Linked DNA regions of Arabidopsis thaliana. The protein of the gene in region 1 interacts with the protein of each later gene in a pairwise test. Each region holds a gene or a part of one and is shown in the gene's direction. Other genes may lie near its edges.

The links.
Region 2: the proteins of AT4G26410 (region 1) and AT5G14240 interact in a two-hybrid assay, tested with the Arabidopsis thaliana proteins (one large-scale study listed by BioGRID).
Region 3: the proteins of AT4G26410 (region 1) and ARD4 interact in a two-hybrid assay, tested with the Arabidopsis thaliana proteins (one large-scale study listed by BioGRID).

Annotation. Positions count from the first base shown.
Region 1 is NC_003075.7:13,344,535-13,348,291, forward strand, and holds the start of AT4G26410 (chromosome-associated kinesin), read left to right. Parts: upstream 1-2,119; 5' UTR 2,120-2,225; coding exon 2,226-2,468; intron 2,469-2,960; coding exon 2,961-3,027; intron 3,028-3,243; coding exon 3,244-3,321; intron 3,322-3,453; coding exon 3,454-3,506; intron 3,507-3,618; coding exon 3,619-3,755; intron 3,756-3,757. Other genes in the region: AT4G26400 (RING/U-box superfamily protein), read right to left, coding at 419-1,489.
Region 2 is NC_003076.8:4,595,783-4,599,539, reverse strand, and holds AT5G14240 (Thioredoxin superfamily protein), read left to right. Parts: upstream 1-1,831; 5' UTR 1,832-1,971; coding exon 1,972-2,219; intron 2,220-2,502; coding exon 2,503-2,646; intron 2,647-2,746; coding exon 2,747-2,952; intron 2,953-3,144; coding exon 3,145-3,317; 3' UTR 3,318-3,612; downstream 3,613-3,757. Other genes in the region: COP13 (Proteasome component (PCI) domain protein), read right to left, coding at 92-157, 358-447, 535-592, 729-975, 1,076-1,191, 1,374-1,570.
Region 3 is NC_003076.8:17,627,275-17,631,031, reverse strand, and holds the start of ARD4 (RmlC-like cupins superfamily protein), read left to right. Parts: upstream 1-1,668; 5' UTR 1,669-1,909; coding exon 1,910-1,921; intron 1,922-2,146; coding exon 2,147-2,234; intron 2,235-2,450; coding exon 2,451-2,545; intron 2,546-3,164; coding exon 3,165-3,404; intron 3,405-3,539; coding exon 3,540-3,668; 3' UTR 3,669-3,757. Other genes in the region: CLH2 (chlorophyllase 2), read right to left, coding at 271-540. UniProt on the Arabidopsis thaliana protein: Catalyzes 2 different reactions between oxygen and the acireductone 1,2-dihydroxy-3-keto-5-methylthiopentene (DHK-MTPene) depending upon the metal bound in the active site.

The DNA of each region.
Region 1 (3,757 bases):
CTCCCACACACTACATAATGTTCTTGGATCATACTCTGGTTACAAGTACATTAGTTTGGTACGAGTGCAATTGCATAAACAAAGACTATTTTTTGAATATATTTTACAAAAATGTGTGATCACATTTGGCTCGTGATCACACAACTTTGGGATTCGTATTTGGAGATAATGCGATTCATGCAGTCAACAACCATACTCACAGTCACATGCCTCTCCCTCTCAACATAAATACCTGTGTTCATCTTTTTATATTTTACTAAATTAAAAGGGATACTTTTAACGGAAACCCAAATGATCATCAGATATTATAATACAAATAAAGAAAAGATTCCATTCCTCGAAAGTGTTTATTTGTTATGCAGTATTCAACAATCTGAGTGAACAAGATTTTATGTACTATAAGCTGAGGAATAGCAGTTTACGAGTTCTCACCGAGATGAGATGACCCCGAGGCCGATGCGGATGACGAAGAGGATGAAGAGAATAATCCGCTGAACGGCCATGGAAAAGAGAACCTTCTCTCGCTCACATTACTGTTCCTTGCATCATCTTCCACATTCTCATTACTTACGTTGATCTCTAGAGTTCTTGTTCTCGGTCTTACAGGATTAACCTTGGTCTCATCATCAGGAGGGAGTTCATATCGGCACACGGGACATGAACTGTGAAGCTCGAGCCACGGTACTATACACCGGATGTGAAACTTGTGCTTACACGGCATCTCTTTAGCTTCACTTCCTTTGTCAAAATCATCCAAACAAATCGAGCACTGCAATGATTCACTTATCTTAACCGTTGGGAGATTATCCACAACTTCTTTACGTGCTGGAAGACTCCCGTGCCTGATTGAATCATTATCAGCTAGATGTTCAAGCAAATGGTCTAAACTGGATCCAACAAAGTAATCTCCAATTGCAGAAAGAGAAGTATTGTTCCGGTTTTGATTCAAACTCGTTGAACCCTGAACAACAGCTGATTGATTTAACAGGTCTCGATCCGAGCTCTCATACTCAGAAGCAATCCCTGCACGAATACCCTGAAGCAACTGCAATATAGTAGCTGAGCTTCTCCGTCTCCTCCTAAGGATAGACTCAAACTCTCTGTCTAAATCAATCTCTCTACCTTGTTGCCTGTGGCGATGACGACGATGATGATGTCGATCAATATCGACGCTGTCATTTCCATCAACATCATCAGATACATTGACCTCATCATTATCCACACCAAACTCTGTCCTCCTAAACCTTCTACGTCTACGAGGATTACTCATCATTCCAAGCAAGATTGGACCCCATAGAGACAATGCACGGTCTGTACCAAAATCAATCTCAGGGTCTTGAACCTCCCTTAGACTGCTACTGCTGCCGCCATTAATCTCACGGCTCATTTCCTCGACAAACCCGCTTTGGCAAAAGGGGCATTTGATCTCGGCACCAATAACTGGATTCACCATTTGTGAACACATGTGACACCAATACCTAGCTGACATTGCCTCTTCCTCCTTCTTTCCTTCCCCACCCAAACCTCTCGTTTCTGAAACAACCAGAAGAACAACAAAAAAAAAAACATGAAGAAGCAAACCTATAAAGTTTCGACCTTTGTTTCATCAGATCTAAATAAAGAGAATGGTATTCCCAAAAGTTTCACTAAAAAGAGGATAATATCATCTTCACCAACATCATTAGCTCAAGTTTCAGACAACAAAACGCAAGCTTTCTATGCAAATGCGAATAAACAGATCAACCAAAATTTGCCTCTATAAAGAGATAACAATAGAAATCAGGGCTAATCCATGAAAAGAAAACTCTCAATTCTCATGGAGTAATTAAAACAAAACAAATACAAAAACAAACCTTGTAAATGTTCTTACTTTTGGAGATCCAGAGGGAAGAAATGTCTTCCTCCTTCTTTTAGATCTCCACGAAGATAAATGAGAGCTTTTTTATTTGTCTTCTTCTGCAGAAATGGTGGGAGACGAAGAAAAGAGGAATGAAGGAGGAAAGGAAGACGAAGATGAAGACGAAGAAAAGGGAATGTAATGTATAGTTCGCAGACCCAATCTTAAAGCCCATTAACCGCAAACTGATATATAAAGGAGCCGGGTCTATCTTAACCATTTAAAACCAACTTCTAATTTGGAATCAAATTGAACCGAATCGAACCGGTTGAAGTTGAAAGAAGGAGAAAAGGCGTTGTCTCCGTGCGAGAAAGGCAAATCGGAGACGATGAGCGAAACCGAAGCAACCGGCGTTACCGATGATTCGGCTCCAGCGATTGAGACTGAAACTGTTTCTGATGCGATGGAGCATACAGCGATCGGAGTGGTTGAATCGGTGGAAGGAGCCATAGAAGGAGCAGAGAAATGGGTGGGTGATTTGCAACGGACGGTGAAGGAATCGAAGGATACCGCAATGCGTTCTGCTCGTTCCCTCCGTGAAAATTCTACCTCTCAGTTCCGCTCTATACAGGTTAGTTAATCTCTCTTTTGTTCACCAAACAATTTTTGCGAATCGAGATTGTTTACCAAAAAACATTTTCAGGATTTCAAACCATGGATATGGTGGAATTTAGTATCTCGTAAGCTATAATTTCTAGAAATGAGCTCGATTCAGAACAGATATTTCTCCAATTAGCAGTTTTATGTATTGAATGGTGCTAGTTTTTGTTCATATGGGTAAAATCTTGTTGAATCATACCATTATAACTTATTGGCAATGATCTTAGTCTCTTCCTGGGTTCTGATTCTGCTTCAAATGGTTGTTTAGAAGACTGTAATGTATCGCTGAGGCATTCTTGATTATTCTCTAAACAATGTTTTTATATGATATCAGATATTCATGTAGCTTAATGATGTGTGATATGGAGTAGACCCTATCTGGCTGAAATCACAGTTCCATTAGATGTATGTATATGTCTTCGTCTTCTCTCATACAATCTTACATTTGATTCTGAAATTGCAGGATTTCATTCCACATGCTTTGACTCAGTATAAGACCTATGAGAATGCTTTCTTCAGTAAAGTTACAGGTATCTTGCAGCCAATTTTCGTGAAAAAGTTATACTGGTAGACTACTGTAATGCTTAGGAACGAGTATTTTAGATCAAACTGAGATATAACAGATAGCTGCCACAAAACTTTTATATATACTTGTAGTGCATCTTATAGTGTTCTGAAACTAGAATCTTCATGTCATTCCGATTAATCAATCCTCGTATCCTCTGCTGCTTTTGTTATCCTCGCAGACGAATTGATATACGCAAAAGAGCATCCGGCTGCTGCTATTGGGATTGGTGTCGCTGCTAGTCTCGTTCTGATGCGAGGTATAACCTCTACTCTCTTATCACTTTTACAACTTACAAGATTCCTTCCCGTAGGAGCATCCAAATGGTATTACATCTGTTTTACTTATATGTGTCTTGTATGAATTTGGTTTTCTATTGTTCGACTTACAGGCCCAAGAAGATTCTTGTTTCGTAATACACTAGGCCGATTTCAGAGCGAAGAGGTATATACTATACCAGCTTCAAATTTATTTCTTAACGTTGTTATGCTTAGTTGCCCTGGTCTGTGTCCCTTCCCTTATTTTTACATCCACTTCAAAATCATCGTCGCTTCAGGCACAATTCTTGAAAGCTGAGAAGCATGTTCAGGAGTTAAACATGTCTGTAGACTTGATGAAAAAGGAGAGCAGGAAATTGCTTGAGAGGACGGCTTTAGCAGAGAAGGATATGAAACGTGGTCTCTCTGAGCTCATGT
Region 2 (3,757 bases), on another chromosome or scaffold:
AAAACAACTGAAATCTTTGGACTGAAGTGAAAAAGGGACCAGACTCCATTCAAACATGAAAAATACAACTAATGATCGGGTTCAAACTTACTCCGGTATAGTTCTTGAAGCTCCTCTGTGCTGCTGTAGAAGCACACTTGGGGAGAGTGTTAGTAAACTGCACAAGTAAAATCAAACAAGATTATAAGAAAAACATCATAAGATTAACCAATGCTTGAAATTAAAATCAGACACAGGATGTAATTGTGAAACCAACATTTCTCAAAAACATACAGTTGATTCAGACTCGTGCAATATGCTCCCATGACCGAAAACTAGATAAACAAAGAAAGTAAAATATAAAGAACACAGCCTTACCTGCCCATTGTGAATGAGAGACACCAATATGTACTTTTTGTACGCCTCAAGAGCTATGGCATTGACTTGATGCATAGGAGCAGTCACAACCTGATACAAGTACTTAGGTTGAGTTAAAACTAAAACGAAAGTCCTTAATGTATAAAAAGCACGTAAGAAAAAATAAAAATGCCTTACATTGTAAAGAAGCTCTAATGCTTTCTGAAATCTCTTCAGTCCAATACAAATCATTCCCCTATCAAAAGTCCAGGTAATCAAGGACCAGAATAAGAAAATACTATAAAACAAACCCAACAGGGATGGATTTAATGTGTTTACACATCTATTGATCAAAGGAAAAAAACAGATAGCAATGAGGAAAAATTGCTTACCCATAATAGCTATAGAGAAAAAAGTCTCTTGGCTGGTCAATCTCCACGATATCATCACTAAGAATGGAGAAACCAGATTTGTACGATTTCGCCTGCAAACAGAGTTGAAGAACATCTGGATGCAATGCAGTCAAACGCTTGGAGGAGACCTGAAGCTTCTGAACAGCGTTTAACAGTGGCCCTACTCCTCGCAACGGATCTCCCAGTGCTATAACATGGTCTTTCAATATCTTACAAAGAGATACAACTGCAAAATCAATATAATAACATCATCCATCTCCCCAAAGAAAAAAGAAAAGAAAACACATTAAGACAAGATAAGCTCTCATTAAGTGTCAGTAAATTACATTTATAGCTCGCCAAACGAATCTGCCCAGCATCACAAGAATTGATGAACCGTGCAATTATCGGTATCTCATAAGCAGCTTTCTCCTTCGACACTGGACCACAGGTAAGAACCTCACTGTAACAATCAAACCATACAAAAAACTCAAAGATCAGAAATCGAATAACATAGACAATTCTCCTTGTTAAACTTCGACCTAATCACACACATCAAGTTCCAATAACCAAAATCATCAATCAGCCTCAAAGTATACACAAACTAGTAACAAAAACCTAATCTACCAATAGGTTAAAACTCACAGGAAATACAGGTAACCGAGAGAGTGCTTCGAGGCGTCGAGCTGGTCAAGAGTAGAGAAATTAACACCTGGTTCGGCTCGGAGCGAGTCTTGAGCTCCTCTCAAAAGATCGTGAAGTGCAGATAAATCCTCTGGACTCCCCGATAAACCTTGGATTGACGTTATCACAGCCTCCACCGAGTTCACAGCTCCGATCATCTTCGATACTAAGACGAAAACACAAAAACCCTAATCGATCGCCCTTTTTCTCCCTCTCAAAATCTTTTGCTAAACTGTTTGTTTAATTATCTCTGGATCTTCTCCATAAAAATACATGCTCTCATAATATATATACGAACCCTCCGAACGGTTAAGAGTCTAATACATTACTCTAGAATAATAAACCAATATCTAACCGGCTTTTAAACCAAATATTCCCGGTTCGAAATGTACCAGATGGTAATTGTCGGTTTAGCCAGACCAATTTCGGGGATGGCCTTTTATCATTCGTCTTTCCAGAGAAAGAACGAGATTGCGATCACAGAGTGTCAAAGCAATCTGCTTTTTCTCCTCTCAGATTCAAAGGTTCTCTTTGAAGCTTCGTAGGTGGTTATACTTTGATGGCGGATTATCATTTCGTGTATAAGGACATTGAAGGAGCGTCAACTCAATGGGATGATATCCAGCGGAAATTGGGGAATCTACCGGAGAAGGCTCCGGCTTTCAAACCTCCGGCGTATACTCCGGCGGAAGACGAGTCTTCAGCTCCTAAGGATCAGGCATGGTTTGATAAGAAGACAGAGGAGGAGCTTGAGGATCTTGAGGACGACAAAGATCTCGACGATGATCGCTTTCTCGAAGAATACAGGTTCGTAGATCGAATCGAACATTCTGATTTTTGTATTTACAATCTTAACTTTCCCTGGAGAATCCTTGCCTTGGTGGATTGTGAATTCAATTTTCTCGGATCTGTTGCCATGTAGCTAGGGAATGCAATTATCAAGCTCTGGTTTTTCTCGATTCGTTTGTGTTTTGGATATGAATGCAATTGAGGGTAGTATCTTATTTGAGATGTTGATGAATAGGCTAAACATAATTGTGCAACACACTTCATGATTCACAGGCACTAATGTGTTTTGATGCTTTCATAGGAAGAAGAGGTTGTCTGAGCTAAGAGAGGCTGCTAAAGTTAAAAGATATGGAACAGTGACTCCCATCTCGGGCTCTGATTTCGTGAGGGAGGTTACGCAAGCTTCTGCTGAAGATTGGGTTGTTGTATGTCTCTATAAAGATGGGTATGTTTTTTCAAGTATTCGTGAACTCTTGTTGAGCCATTCTTTACTACATGCTTGAAACACTATTAACTCATGTTTATTTCTTGTTGTTCTCTGATAGTGTTGCAGAATGTAGTTTGCTATTGGGTTGTCTAGACGAATTGGGTAGTAGATACCCAGCAACAAAGTTCGTTAAGATAATATCTACTGATTGTATTCCGAACTACCCTGATTGCAATCTTCCTACCTTGCTGGTGTACCACCATGGCGCCATCAAAGGAACTCATGTAGGCTTAAAGAGCTTTGGCCGTAGGTGCACCCCAGAGAGTAAGTTTGAATGAACCCTTGTTTGTCTGATGTAATCTGTGCTTATTTGTGTTTGATGATTATGTCATGTCTCATCTCTAGCCTTTGTCTGATCTGAGACCTGATGTGACCACATTGGCGATTGTATCATGCTTTGAGCAGATTGGTCTTAGGCACATGTCTAACATACTTGCAACTGATTTGGTTTTTCAGGTGTAGCCTTACTTCTGTGTCAATCAGAGCCAGTTCTTAACGATGGCAAAGGAGGAGACGATGACTCCTCGAGGGAAGCTGTGATGGCTGGAGTTCGAAGACAGTTCATAGAACGAGTGGTGAAGGACCACGAAGATAAGGATAACGATGATGGTGGTTACAATAGTGATTAGAACTTCAAAGCTTCTCTGTTTATCTCTGTTGGTTATTGCTTGTTGAGTTGGTGACTGGTAAACAAAAGTGCTGACTTCTTGTGTGATGTAATGTTTTTTAAACATTTTGTAACTTTTGTTCTTTTGAAAGAGACAGGAACTTCATGTTGTTTTTTGATATCCAGGTATCACATGCCGAATTTTAGTGCTGGATCTAAGCCTGTGAATCCATGTAAGTTTAGAATAGTCTTTGTTTTGGACAAAGTAATAATCAAATTTGGAGAATCTCAAATCAACTGAGATGTTTTAGTTTTCATTCATGTGCAACTCGAACTACTTCACAGTTCACAAATATACTGCAGATACCAAACCCAAGAACTATAAACATCCCCAACACAATAGAAGCACACTACCTTCAAAATGAAGCTCCCTTTCTCAAAACTTCTTTATATACATACATA
Region 3 (3,757 bases), on another chromosome or scaffold:
TAGCGAATTTACATTTTTCTAAACTCTACACTAATACTAAATCCCTAAACAAAAACTATACACTGGATTTAACAATTCCGATAGTACCATTTCCATAAAAATAACTCATAACATTTTACTAATTAAACAAAAACTATACACTAGTTTGACCCCCCAAAAAATAATTTCTATACTAAATTACTAATACACATAGGAATCTAAAACTAAACAAGAATTTCAGTGGCTAATTAGTTCCTGAACTAATGTAATGATTGGAAATTGAAATTGAACCTGAGGAGCGATGAGGATGAAGCCATGAGAAGAGACATGCAACATAAGCTGAGAATAGAAGGAGTTGTAGAGAAGGTAACCATGGAGGAGCATCACCACCGGATAATCTCCTTCCTCCACCGGCGTAGCCACCAACAGCTGCTTTGGCGGAGACGGTGAAGCTCTAGAAGACGGTGTTATTTTGCAGCAACGAGATGATGAGTCCAAGGTTAAGAGATTTGATTTGTATTTGCCATCTTCAAAGGCGTTTCTTGATGAAGAAGAGGACATTTTTTTTGTTCTTTATTAGTTTTTCTTTTCTTTACTTTTTTTGTTTGGTGGGTTCATGAGAATGAGGTGAGTAGAGATATTATTAAAAGTTATAAGAAGTATGGCCGTTGAAATCTTGGTTAATTTTAAAGAGCACATAAACAAAATCAAATAGAAAAAAATTACTTATGTTAAATTACTTATATTATTGGGGTTGGTGTAATGATAAATCTTCCAGATGTAGATATTGGATTAAACGTCTGTTGAAAAGAATCTATTTTCTAAAGAATATAAATTTAACTTGTGTCCCATCTCTAAAAAATATAAGACCTTTAAATTTAAACTTCTAAATATTTTTTTTTAAAAAACAAATCAAATAGAAAGAAATTACTTATGTGTGCATGGAATATAACAACTACAATCATAAGGCCATATATTCATAGTCTATTTTCAGTATTGAAACCTGATTTTTTCTAATTTTGGGTAATAAATTTTATGAAGTCTTTTTATTATAGTCTAGTTAAATTTCTCTATATTTAAACAAAGTCAGATCCTATATATATGAGATTTTTTGGAATTTTAAAAAATATTTAAATTCAAACAAAATAATTGGAGATTTGAATTTTTGTAAGAAAGTTACTTTGTGTTTCAGATTAAATTTAATAATAAATGGTCAAAAGATTTATGACTAAGAAGTATTAAAAATTAAAATATAGAAGAGAAAAAAATTGATATGATATGATATGCTCTTAGCAAAAAAATAAATTGATATGCTGTTGCTGGGTACAAGGAATGGGCTTTGTACTTCATACTAGACTACTTTTTCTCTAGTCCAATTTAAAAAAAAAAAAAACATTATATAACATTCGAGACTAATTTAAAGTGTTAAACGGCCCAATTTGTATTACACGGCCCAAGTTAAAGTGTTAAACATTACCTCATTACCTATGTACGATTTGTGGAAAAAAAATATATATACCTATGTACGATTTTGGATTACATTTTTTTTTTCTAGTTAAAACTAATTTCAAGTTTGAAATATAAATTATATATCTGAATATAGATCATTCTAGTTCAAATCAGATGGAAATATATGAACCTCAGAAAATACAATATCATACAAATGAGCCAATGTTTTGGTCTTATTCATTCATGATCATTGTGGCTCGAAAACGGTTGTTTTTTTCGTGCAAAAGAAAAAATAACGATTTTTTATTATTAGAATTTCGAAACCAGAATTAATAAAAATTAGGAGAAAGGAAAATAATACGAATTAAAGTGATCGTACACGTGGCTATCATCGACGGAGGAAATAGCCATTTATTTATCTGATCTTCATCACTCTGATGAGTCTGAAATCAAAAAAGCATTTACACAACGAAGATCATTAATGGCTCTCGAGGTGAGTTCTGATTCATAGGTTCTAGATTCTGATTTCGAATCTCGATTCGTTCAATAGTGATTATCGTTGCTCTTTCGGAATTATTTTGGGGATTTGATTTGATTTTGGCAGAACTGAGAATTGGGATTTGATTTTACCGTTTTGCAGCTGAAATTGAAAATTGAATCAAAAGTTTTTTCTTGAGATTTTTTTCTTTCCCTGAGGCTTAAGTGTTGATTGATGCAGGCATGGTTTATGGATGATAGCAATGAGGACCAGAGACTTCCTCATCATCGTAACCCGAAAGAACTCGTCTCGTTGGATTACTTGGCAGGTCTTTTCAATTCTCTACCTTAAAAATTACTCTTACTTTGCAACTTTTGAAAAACATCAATCTTTCATGCTTTATTGTATTGAGTAGTGATTCTACATGAGGAAACTAAACGTAAACCGTCTTAAAACTAAGGAAATGGTCAAATTTACCCAAGATGAGATTTAACAGAATCATAAATTATGCAAATATCACAAATATAGTTGTTGTGTTTTGTAGAGTTGGGAGTGTTGTACTGGAAGTTGAACCCTGAGAACTACGAGAATGATTCTGAACTTAGCAAGATTAGAGAAGACAGGGGTTACGATTACATGGTACGCATATTATCTCTTCCTGATCACTGTTTTTTCTTAACTTAGGAACACTCATGCTCATCATAAATGCCAATTGAATGTCTCTGTTTTTTAACTTGTTGCATATCGTTGCATGTTGATCTCATGAGATTAACGATTGTGACATATACTAGACACAGTAGGAGTGTAGGACTACATAATGAAGGTAGTACTCAAACCTTACAAAACCAGCCTATGAAGAAAGAAGCCTTATGAGTATTAGAGTACAGGATTTGCTACGGCTTATGTCTTTCTGATCACCCTTTTTTAACTCATGCTCACCATAAGCGGCTATTGATGTTTCAGTTCCTTTACTTGTTATCTCTGCACGCTAATCTCATGAAAAAAAAAAACATGTATCATAGGACAGTAGGACTATAATCTTGCATAACCATTAAGGGGTAGTATGACTACAAACATTTTAGAAACCAGCTTATTAAGGAAGAAGGCTTCTCTGTAATTGAGTATTAAGGGAACATTAAAACGTTTGGTTTACGTTAAAAATAATTAAGCTATTTGTGTGGTGTGTAGCATTGTAACTTATGAGCTATAAACTAATTTTCTCAAGCAGAATGATTACTTTGGTTAATCTTCATTTTAGGATTTGCTGGATCTGTGTCCCGAGAAAGTCAGCAACTACGAAGAAAAGCTGAAGAACTTTTTCACAGAACACATTCACAAGGACGAAGAGATTCGGTACTGCCTAGCAGGAAGTGGCTACTTTGATGTTAGGGACAAGGATGATCGTTGGATCCGTATCTGGATGCAACCTGGCGATCTCATTGTCCTTCCTGCCGGAATCTACCACCGGTTCACACTCGACGCCAGCAACTACATCAAGGTACAAAAAGCCAAACTCAGTCTCTATACTAATTTACTAATTTATATGAATACGCAAATGAAATATTACATCTTAATATCTTATGTTAAAAGATTTGATTGTTGGTTTGTGATGTATGGTGGTTTGGTTTTGCAGCTAATGAGGCTGTTCGTGGGGGAACCGGTTTGGACACCATATAACCGGCCACAGGAAGAACATCCTGTTAGGAAAAAGTATATCCACGGCTTAACCTACAAGTTTGGAGAAACCGTTAAAGCACATTAACAATATTAATATATGCTTGTTGTGTAATTTGTATGTATTGTTTACTCTTTAGTCTTAAGCAGTAAAATAAAAACAGCGGCTCCTTCTGG